Linked DNA regions of Arabidopsis thaliana. The protein of the gene in region 2 interacts with the protein of the main gene of each other region in a pairwise test. Each region holds a gene or a part of one and is shown on either strand. Other genes may lie near its edges.

Region 1 (3,758 bases), on a different chromosome or scaffold from region 2:
TATTGCGGTGGTGGAGGACCAGAGGTAAAAGGCTGAGGAGGAGGAGGTTGTTGTTGTTGTGCTGCTTTTGTTCCTATAGGTGCCTGAAGTGGCTGAGCCACGTTGTACGGTGATTGGTGTGGTTCTCTGTAAGTATCTGAAGCCACTCTCTGTACCTGAGGATAGTAGCCGCCTTGGTTTACTTGTCCTGTAAGTATTGGTCTGATGACACCTTGCGGTTGCGGTGGTGGTGGCGCGTGGTACACCGGAGATGGAGATGGAGATGGGATCATGTAAACTGGTTGCTCTGGTAATCCTAATCCATGTGTGGTTGTTGGAAATACGACTCCTGGATTGTGGTTTCCTTGCCAGAAAGTCGTCATCGGAGGAGCTTGCGGATTCGTTTGAGGAATCGTCTGCTGTGGCGGTGGTGGCGCAGGATTTTGTATGTACGGTGGAGAGAAGTATCCACCTCCGGTTTCTATTAAACCGTCTTCGTTACTCTTCCTTCTGTATACAGCTTCCTGTTGTTGTTGTTGTTCTTGATCCCTAATATGCATCCTCTGAAATTCCTGCATTTGTCTTTGAATTTCCATCGGATTTACGACGTGATCCGGTTGAATCACACGCGGATCGTTAAACAAAGGCGGTTCTAACGCCACAGGAACCGGTAATTTCACCTCAGCCGGTGGTGGCGGCGGCGGAGCTGCAACTTTCTCCGATCCAAACAAAAAATCCGCATTATTCGGAGGAGCAGTTACGGATTTCTCCGATTCAGATAGCCTAGGAACAGTGTTCAACGCCTCGACGAAGCGATCTCGATCCGATTGAGTCGAACTTTGAGAACCAAATCCAGAAGAAGCCGGGAAGAGAAACAAACGCATCCTCGCTGGCTTAGACGACAAACGAAGCAAGCGATCGTACTCGTGCATCATATGCTCCAGATCATCATCGTTCGTAACCGAGATCAAAGCGTCTAAGTCTTCTCCCGGAAGCTGATACTTAAACGTAACTTCTCCTCCGCCGCCATCACCGCCGCCGCATACGGTGGAGAGTTTGGAAGCTAAAACAGGGAATCTAATCCCGCGATCAACGGAAAGAATCTTCGTTTCTCCGTTTACGTAAGTGAGCTGATTATCGTGAGGCCGTGGCTGAATCTTGCCGCCATAGCTGCACATAAACTTCACCTTGTAGCTATGTTGCTGCTGGTTCTGGTTCTGATCATCCCATGGAGGCGGCGGGTTATCGAATTCGATCTCACGAGATCTCGGTGACGAGTCGGTTGAATCTGGATAAGAGTTGTACGAGAATTTCTCCATCTCTCCGCGAAAATTAAATGATTTTTTTTGTTGGTTTGGCTTAATTCATGAAGAGAAGAAATTAGAAAGAAATGAAGAAGACTGTTGTGATGAAATGGTTTTTATTATGTATCGGTGATGGTGGTGTTGGAAAATGAGTACGTGAACTTATTGCTCATTTACACGTGGCCTGTCAGATTTTATGAGTTTTAAGGCGGTGATGAGATTATGTGACGGTTCTGTGACGTTAGCTGAATCTCTCCATGGATTAATATGACTTTTGGGGACACTGTGAATGGGCCCAACACTAGTGTTTTGATACTTCGACGTTGAAAGAGGCCAGCTTTTAGCCTTTTACATGTTTTTTCTTAATATTTTGTTAAATCAACATTAGTGAAGCAATATTTTTAAGGTTAAGTGATAAATAAATAGTTAAGAAAAAGGGAAAAACAAAAGTCGTTGTCGTCGATCTTTCGCCTGATCAGGCTTAGATATGTTTTATGATTGTGTTATTGGATTTCTTTTGTGTATAACAAATATTTGAATGTTTGAATCATCATCATTCATCAACTGTATTACACATCCGAATAGTCTTTGGGTTAGTTCTAGAAGATAGATGTTTTTTAGTCTGTCAACATGCAGAAGAAAACTGTAAAAGGGTCAACAAAAAAAAATTGTTATGTTAAATTAACATCAAGAATATAAGATAATTTAAATTTGACACCGGTGAGTGTATACTCACTTTCTCGATTGTTTGCTATTATTATATACCTTAGATTATTGCCAACTTGCACCTTATTATAAACGGTGAAATTGTTGTAATTATTCAAACTTATAATAGACGTATTTCACTAGCATGCCGAAGGTGCAATCATGGTCGTACAAGAACAATATTTATATTGTCAAATTCACGTAACAATTTTTGTTGTTTTCCTTGTTTGTCGAAGACATGTGCATTGATTAGTATTTCTTCCAATATTATTTTGTGTTAGAACTTAGAAATGTTCATTATTTTCTCATCCTCTTAAATAATCCATATATATATGGACTAATCGGCCCGCCGTCCCGGTACGATGTTGCTCGATCAGTCATAAATCAAGTCGTGTCTCGTGGTTGTTTGTACTTGGCAGAGCAAGTCAATCAACCGAATTTTGGTAAAGATGCATCTTAGCCAAAACTTTTGATTTCACTAGATATACTAGAATTTAGCATTATACGAATGTCGACCATACTTTTTGATTACTTAAGAGCCTCTTATATAGTTAGTCCTATTATTGATAGTTTTCTTGTAGTAATATTTGAATATTATAACGAATCAAATTTTTCGAATCTAATAAGCACAAAAGAAAAATGGAATCGAATATTATTTTAAATGAAACTATGTACTAACATAAATCCAATTATGTTCAAATGAAACCAAATCAAATAAATGAAGTATTCCTAGCTTTGAATTAGTAAGTATCATATGAAATGGCTCCATATGGAAACCAAAAAATCCAACTGAATGCAAATGAAAGTGTTTTCACTACTTCATCGTAAATATAAAGAAATTGTTAGGTGTGATAATGAAAAACATTAGTTAACGGGCCAAAATTATATATTTACATAATAAAGGGGTAGTTTCATAAATTTGAGAACATGGTTGGAACATTTCAACAAATGAGACGAGTTCAATGTACACTTGAATTATGTACAAATCAGTACAAGAAGCTTAAGATTTGAAGCTAACATATAACATTCAAGTTCCCAACAACTTCACCGCTCATCTCCGCACGGCTTTCTTCATTTAGTAATCCTTCGCCGGATCGGATCATCGTTTCTCAGATTCCTCTTTTTAAGTTTCTTCTTTCAGGTTCGCAATCCGAATCTTCCACAACCATTGTTCGTTTCGCCTGTGATTCTGGTTTCTGAAATTTCTGCCTTGGCGTGGTTTCCTTGAATCTGATTACTTGGATTCTCCGATTCTCATAGTTCTTACCAGTTTTTGTTTTTTATTTCACTTAATTTGTTCTGATTCTGGATAACAGATTCTTATGATAAGGTGAAAGATACTAGAGATTCATCGGTTTTGTTTTGTTTTGGCAATTTTCTCAAGTGTTTGACTTATAGAACAGTGACGTGTGTGATCTATGATATCAATTCCAAACTTAATGATGTTTTGTTTGTAGATGGGTAAGTATCAGGTCATGAAACGTGCAAGTGAGGTTGATCTTTCTACTGTCAAATATAAAGCTGAAACCATGAAAGGTCTGGTTGGTTTTACAAATGCACATTAATTCTGTGGGTTTTCTGCATAGACATGAGAATGTGCCTTTTACATGGTTTTCTGTAATTTGCAGCTCCTCATTTGACTGGCCTTTCCTTCAAGTTGTTCGTTAATTTGCTTGAAGCACCACTTATAGGCTCTTTGATTGTTGATTATTTGAAGAAAGACAATGGCATGACAAAGGTCTAGTTTGTTCAAACTTGACTTATATCTTC
Region 2 (3,758 bases):
TGGCTGCGGCTTTCTAGCCATGGGTGAGGCGGTGACAGCACTGACAGGCTGCGGAACAGGTCTAGTAGCAGAGTTGATGTTAGTGACAATGGGCTGATTCTTAGTTTCAGAGGATTTACCTGATGTGTCAGTGATAAGATTCTTGATTAATTTTGGGTCGCTGAGGAACTTGATAAGTAGCTCAGTATCGACCAAACTCCCTTGTTCCTTGGTTTTCATCAGTGCAGTCAGAGCTGCAGAAGCAGCCAGACTCAAGTCTGGTGCAAGACCAGTAAGACCAGAAACCTGTTCTTGGGTTGAACATAGAGGTTTGGTCTCCAACTGACCCTGCTTGTTTGCGGTAACACCTGATTCAACCTTACTGTTGGATGACTCCTCTGAAGAAGATTCACTCTCGTCTTCAATAGGAGTGAGACGAATGGCAGGAGTTTTGCTGTCATCAAAGCATTCAGCTTCCACAGCCGGTGAAACAGAGGGTCTACATGAAAACAGAATGCAATCAGCAGGCTAACTAACACACCAACACAATGTTGAATAACCTAAGAGAAGAAGGTAAAATACCGAGAAGGGATGGCAGAGCGATGAGGATAGATAGCTTCCAGCACTTTTGAAATCCTCAAGTTTTCATTTTGCCATTCTGAGCTCCCGCCACCACATCCAACCAGCCAAGTATCATTGACAGAGAACTGCATTGTCCAAGACACATAATATTAATATCAGATATGATAAAAAAAGATTCAAAAGGGATTCACCAATTCTTTACAGTATAAAAAATATACCTTGGGAGGAGGTCGTTTCCATTTGATGCGAGGAATGTTTGAAACATTAGGCTTAACTGCATAGTGATTTCCTTCAAAACCAGGTGGAAGATCTGGCCCTCGAGGTTTCCTAGATGGGTAGCTATGACGTTGAGGCTGAGAGGCTACATTGGCAGGACTGTCCTCTGTTCGAAAAACCTTAACCTGTTCAAAATCCGCATAGTTAGAAGCTAACCAAAGCTGACTTTTTCGTGTATCAAAACTATGTAACTAAACCAATAAGGCTTCCCAAGTCTATCTGTAAAAAGATTGTAAATTTGTAGTTGCAGAGTATTGGATTGATGCATTCAAACTTCAAAACTTGATCATATCTTGTTTCAATCTAAATCTAACTGTATGTTGATTCAAATTTCCAAATCCAAAACCTTGAATATATCTTTGTTGATTCAAATCAATTTCATGTAAACTATATGAGCTAAAACGTTATCTTCAAAGATAGAAAAATCAAAGCCTTCTACATACCAAAAGAGCCGTCAAAGTAACAACAAACAAGACTTGGTTTCTTCACCATTTTTCGATTGGATATTGAAATTAAATAATTCAGCGATTCAAGATCGTATCAATCAATTCGTTGGGTTTAAAGGAAAACTTCAAAATCGAAATTTTAGGATCCAGAAATTAGGTTAATTGTTATAATCGAGAGTTTAGATTTGGTGAGATGGATCAATCAATTTGGGATTAGAAAGTGGATAAGAAAACATGGAACATATAAGGATTAATTATACCTGACAAAGCTTAGGACCTGGTGGCCATGAAACTCTGGGTTTCTTCGATCTCTTCATATTATTCATATAAATCTCAAAGAAACAAACCAGTGAAAACAAAATTCGATTCTTTTTGATTCAACCGGTGATCGTTTTTTTATCAGATTCAGATCAAATATGAATTTTTTCTGCTAGATCTACAGATTTCTTAACGAAGCAAATTGAGATTCGAAGGATTTTGATTAGGGAATTGGTCAATACGATGGATGAGTCAGAGATCGGAGAGAGAAAACGGAAACAAGAAAGAGACGTCGGCGGAAGGATTTGGGTGATGATGATGATTGATTGATTGATGAGAAAACCCTAACAACTGTCTCTTCTATTTTCTTTTTCTTTTTAGTACACGGTGGATTTTGTTAGGACGTTCCTTTAGAGACTGTATTTATATATAACGGAAGCAGTTATTTATTTATTTAATTTCGTGTAATTCTCAGGTCTCAGCTAACTCCAAATTATAATTGGATTCCTAATTTATATTTATTTATTAACTCAATTGGATTCCTACTTATTTTAAAAAATTAAATAAGATTTTTTCCTTATTTTTGGCTATTTATTTTTTATTAAAATGGAAAACCAAATTGGCATTACAGATAAAACAAAGTCCTACATTTACAACTTAAAATTGAAATTAAGCCCACTTACTCTAAATCCAACTTTTTAAAAAAAATAAGAGTTAAAAATGCCACTTGTGAAAAAGTATCCACACGTGAGAAGGATGAGTATTGACACGATCTTTATCAGCCATATCTAACGATATGGTTCAGCTTTGTCGCTGGACTTTAGATCCATCATCGCTAGCTCCTTCTATAGGTTTACCGCCGCCGGCCTGCCAAATTTTGCTGTACGTTCTTATAATTCTGGCCATGACTCCAACGAATCTTTAGATCTCAATTCAAAAATTCTTCAAAAAAAGCTCCACCTCAAAACCTTAAAAGGTCCACTTCATACCAGTCTTCATACCAGTCGGTAGTAAGTTACAAGGATATTAGTCCTTTAGAAGAGCCAAGCCGACAGTAAATCATACATAATCTAAACAAGATTTAATTTTAAGTCATGTAGAAAGAGAAAACACAAAAATCCAGCACTTAGACAAAACTAAGTTTGGAATATTTTAATCCGACCAAAACACCGGCTACGCCTGAGTTGAAAGCCGACATTAAATTGGAAAAACAACAACTAGTCCGACTAGAAAATTAGAAGACGAAAAGATAAAATTGACATTTTTCTTTTTGAAAGGTTCAAGAAAGTTAGGAGACGAAAATTGGCACTTTGATTTAGGCTTCGCATTGGAAGAGTTGACGAATATTCCGGTTGGTAGGAGACGGAGATATCATGACGATGTGACGATAATGGTAATCACTCTAAGTAACGATCAACGCAAAGGCTTCTACGACTACGATCGTGTGATTTTGATTATGATGGCGACAAATGTTGGATTGGTAAAACTGTAATGAGTCATACTGATTTCTTTTAGACTTTGGAACTGATCACTATTTTGCTGGGTATTATTTCAGTGCACAGTACATATATTATATCATTGTAGTGGTCGTAGAGCCTAGATTTCATCCGTTTGTCAAAGCTTTAGTCACATGTTCTGTTATTTTTTTGGGCATTTTGGGTGTTTATCCGGTTTGGTTTGTTGTTTTGGATTGTAAGTTGTAACATTGACTGAACCGGTTTTGTCAATTGGTTTAAACTACTAGTGAAATAAAATAAATGTTGATTTGAGAGCTTTAATAAATAAAGCATCTTATTATTATATTCAGAACTTTTACATTAAAGGAAGGGGGATAAAATTGGGAGCATAAACACAGCTATAACAACAGAAAACCATGGTGTCAATTACAAACTTCTTGAGCAAATCTCCCCTGACAATATAGATGCAAGCCGCATAAGTGTTCTCGTCAGCACAATAAATGATGAAGGTGGTCTTGTCATAGATGAAGTAACTAATGCCATAACACTCGATAAATAAGTTTGGCAAGTTATTTGGTAGCAACGTCAACAAGTGAATCCACACAACTTCGTCTGATCCATTGTTGTTACTAGTATCAATCTTATTCTTCGTAACCCAAATCTCAACCTTCCTTGTCTTATAACATTGCTTTAACAAGGATAACCTATCTCCCCTGAAAACTTACAAGTAAATCGAAAGCATCAAACTTCCGACAAGGAA
Region 3 (3,758 bases), on a different chromosome or scaffold from region 2:
TTATACAATTTTGTTTGGACAGAAGACAAGTTTTGTAATGTAATATGGAACAATGGTTACTAAGATGTTTAGCAAGAGCTTAATTTATAGTATATGATATTGGGATTTGGGAGGGTTTAGGTACATTGTTAATGTTAGGTTTATCGATATTACTGGAGGGAAGGCGTCGTTAGGAACTTTGTCATTAACTTTCTTGAGTTAACATGCGTAAATGCAGTGGCGGACCCAGAATTTGATTATTCCAAAAATTGGACAGAGGAGGAAGAAAAGTCACAATCCCAAACAGTTAATACAAGATCGTAGAAAAGCGTTTTTGGCGCACGTGCGCGGAGAGAGAAAGCAGAAGCAGACCTCACTTTTCTTTTTTTCTTGGTTTTTTCTTGTCTCTGGATCCTCATTGTTGTTCTCACCACCACCTACTAGCTACTACCCACATTTTTCCCCAATGTCGAACTTCTATCCGTTTTCTTCTTTGGTTTTAGGTCTTTCTTTTTGGTAGTTGTACTACAACATGTATACTTTTAATTTGCAGCAAACATGAAACTTCTCCTTTGTCAGCACTCAGCCTTACGGAACAACATGTACCCCTAAACAAAACTCTACATGACCTAGGGGATTTGAAACATCCCAAGAAATGGATTTTTTTTTTTTTTTTTTTTTTTGGGCTGTGATTGTTAATGAAAACCTTTTTATGTATACATTTGATAAAGTAAATACTACATATATTCTAGTAGAATAATACCATTTACCTAATATACTGAAATTTCTTGGGATGTTTCAAATCCCCTAGGTCATGTAGAATTTTGTTTAGGGTTACATGTTGTTCCGTAAGGCTGAGTGCTGACAAAGGAGAAGTTTCATGTTGGCTGCAAATTAAAAGTATACATGTGTAGAACAGCTAACAAACAGAAAGCATAGAAAGAAGGGAACCCTAGGATAAAGAATTAAAAAGGGGAACAAAGATTTATGCTGTTTCTTCTTTATTTCTCATTGGCAAAACGGCAGAATCTTCATTAAGTTGCGTTTTATTATTTTTTCCATTTCTTATAGTAGCCAACTTCCAACTACACCATTTAACCCGGCCGTTTTTTTTTGTTGCTAAGTAATAGGTAAATATCCTATTAATGAAAATTATGATTTACATGAACAATAGCTAAGATTTAGGATACAAACAAGGAAGACGATCAAGGATCTTGAAGATAGAAGTAGGCGCAAATGTGTTGTGAATTATGCAGCATCTTATTTCTTTGCTTCCAAGTTGTATATAAATCACGGCTTGAGTAACTAGCTTCCTTAGTGTATATGTGACTGCATCTATCATATACAGTATGTGTGTAAACTGCGTTTGGTGTAAAATGTAATTATAATTTATAGAAAATAAATTAAAGTAGTGGAACATGGAAATCACCGTTCAGATATTCTAACTGATTCACTATAGACGGAATTCTTGTTTTCGTCCATTGTTTTTACTTTTTAGAATTTTTAAGTAAAATAAATCATCCATTACATCACTGAGGTGACATCATCGCTCAGGGGACATCACTAACTACGTTCCCACTAAAAATATAGGCAAATGCAATCAAGTGAATGATGATGACCTTTCAAGAGTTCGTAGAGATAAATAAAATAATAAATATTTGGCATGTTGAGGATCAAATGAATTAGATGCATAAGAAAGGTACTAGGTAGACCAGGCCCGGCCCAATGTGTTTTGTTGTCTAAAGCAAAACAAAAAAAATTAAGCCCATTAAAGAATAGTTATATTGCCTCGGAAGGGCTCGAATCCATCATCTTCATTTTTTTAGTTTACACGGATTGGAAGTAGGCTACAATGTCCCTGAGGGAAGGTAGGCCCATTATTAGTGACCTGAAGCCCAATAATAATGAAAACGCAAAGAACCTTTTAAGAAGAAGATGACAGAATCTCTAGAGAATAAAAAACTAAACACAAAAATAGAAAATATCGAAAATGAGATGAGAGAGAGAGGAGGAGTCTCTCATCGTGAGTAGGGCTTTTGACTCCCTCCCTACTTTGCCTACTTCTTCTTCTTCCTCTGTGGCCACTCTACACAGTCCACACCTACTTCAAGACACCTTTCTCATCCTTGAGATCGGCGTCAGATCCTCCGCCGCTTCTCCTCTTCACTATCTCCGGTCACAACTTGTTTTTCTCTGTTTTTCTTTATCTCTACTTTATGCACAATCTGACTTTCTAAGTGGATTTACAGTGTTAAAGATGATGGAATCTGGCGCTGGTTTCGTGGCCATGGAAGAGAGGATCTCTCCTGGAAGTTTCTTCCAGTATCCTCTTTCTGGATTCCGTGCTTCTCCTAATCGATCCCCTTGTCCTCCCTCTGATCGTGAAAGGTTTCTATTTTCTCTCTTCTTTCTCAACCTTTTTGCTATTTGTGAATCTGTGTTAGCTTGATTGTTGTGGACCCGTTTCTTCTTCTGGACTTGTTGCTTTAGCACAACTTCAAGTGTGTCTCTTTGTGATTGGTGGGTATTGTTGCCTTTGATTGGATCAGTGTTTAAAAATGATTCTGTCAAGTTTGTATTTTCATGAACTGCTTACACAGATCCAAATTCTCGATCATACTCTCTCACCTCAACATGTCGCCTTTTTCACAATTAGCTCACTTATTATTGGATTCTATACAATGTACTCTTAAGGATTTTAACAAGATAGCTATATTTTATCAATGTTTTAGAAATGAACGTACTGATGTATTTTTAGAAGCTTAGTTTACATGTGACTGAGTGCTGATTCCAATGTCACCCACTCGATTCACACGCAACATCCACTGAAACTTAAGTTTTTTTTGTTCTTAACCTTGTGCAGGTACTTGACTGAATTATTGCAAGAGAGACAAAAGTTGGGTCCCTTTTTGCAAGTTATGCCAAATTGCTGCAGACTGCTTAATCATGGTGAGCTATCTTATTAAGCTATGTGATTTTGAATTTAGTATTTCCTTAGAGTGTGTGCACACGAACTTAAGAAATTTCCCACGTGAACAAAGCCTTAGTGCGCATCACCCTGGCTTTTTTCCAGTTAAAGGTTTACAGAAATTGGGTAAGGATAGTTGAGTAACAAAAATGTATCTACATGCAACTTTTTATTCTCTTTGTTATGGCCTTCTTAATATATATATAGCCAATCAAAGTCTATGTTACTTTTAGCATTTAGAAACAGTTTTTAATTGCAACTTATTGCTAAATGATCATCCTTGATGAGTTATGTTATGTGAAAATGAATTAAGTCTATGTGTTTGCAAATGATAATGATCGTTAAGCAAATGATCACCAACTAATTTATACTAGGAAGCCTATTTGTCCGTAAATATGCATATGGTGATTAGAAGCTTGTTTCCAGACTTGTTTACCTAGCTTTTAGTTGTCCATCATGCCCTTAAGGGATGTGTGAACCTTAAAAGACAAAGATGTGTTTGAAGTTTTCATCATTCTAACCTATTAGAACCCGAGCCTTTTGTTTCATTATTGGCATTAAAGATAAGAGACTGAAGATGCCCCTGATGTATAACTCTTACAGTTTCTTTTATACGTTTGCTTAACTGCCAACATTGCTGACGTCTGTGCAGAAATCAGGAGGGTCTCTAGTTTTCCTGATCTTGATAGATATGAGCATGGCAGTCCATTTAGATCGCTTGGTCAGCCGACAAATGGAAAGCTTGATTTAGAGGGATGGTCGATGATGCAAGCCGAGGTAAGCCACTGCTGATAGTTGTAGTCAATTAACT

What was found.
Region 1: the proteins of AT3G51180 (region 2) and AT5G64430 interact in a two-hybrid assay, tested with the Arabidopsis thaliana proteins (one large-scale study listed by BioGRID).
Region 3: the proteins of AT3G51180 (region 2) and AT1G09660 interact in a two-hybrid assay, tested with the Arabidopsis thaliana proteins (one large-scale study listed by BioGRID).

What each region holds. Positions count from the first base shown.
Region 1 is NC_003076.8:25,762,784-25,766,541, forward strand, and holds the start of AT5G64430 (Octicosapeptide/Phox/Bem1p family protein), read right to left. Parts: upstream 1,638-3,758; 5' UTR 1,299-1,637; coding exon 1-1,298. Other genes in the region: FAAH (fatty acid amide hydrolase), read left to right, coding at 3,446-3,524, 3,617-3,726.
Region 2 is NC_003074.8:19,011,571-19,015,328, reverse strand, and holds the start of AT3G51180 (Zinc finger C-x8-C-x5-C-x3-H type family protein), read right to left. Parts: upstream 1,941-3,758; 5' UTR 1,610-1,940; coding exon 1,544-1,609; intron 963-1,543; coding exon 780-962; intron 687-779; coding exon 562-686; intron 479-561; coding exon 1-478. Other genes in the region: AT3G51171 (F-box and associated interaction domains-containing protein), read right to left, coding at 3,703-3,758.
Region 3 is NC_003070.9:3,129,270-3,133,027, reverse strand, and holds the start of AT1G09660 (RNA-binding KH domain-containing protein), read left to right. Parts: upstream 1-1,933; 5' UTR 1,934-2,154; exon of another isoform or gene 2,155-2,228; 5' UTR 2,229-2,236; coding exon 2,237-2,367; intron 2,368-2,842; coding exon 2,843-2,928; intron 2,929-3,599; coding exon 3,600-3,724; intron 3,725-3,758.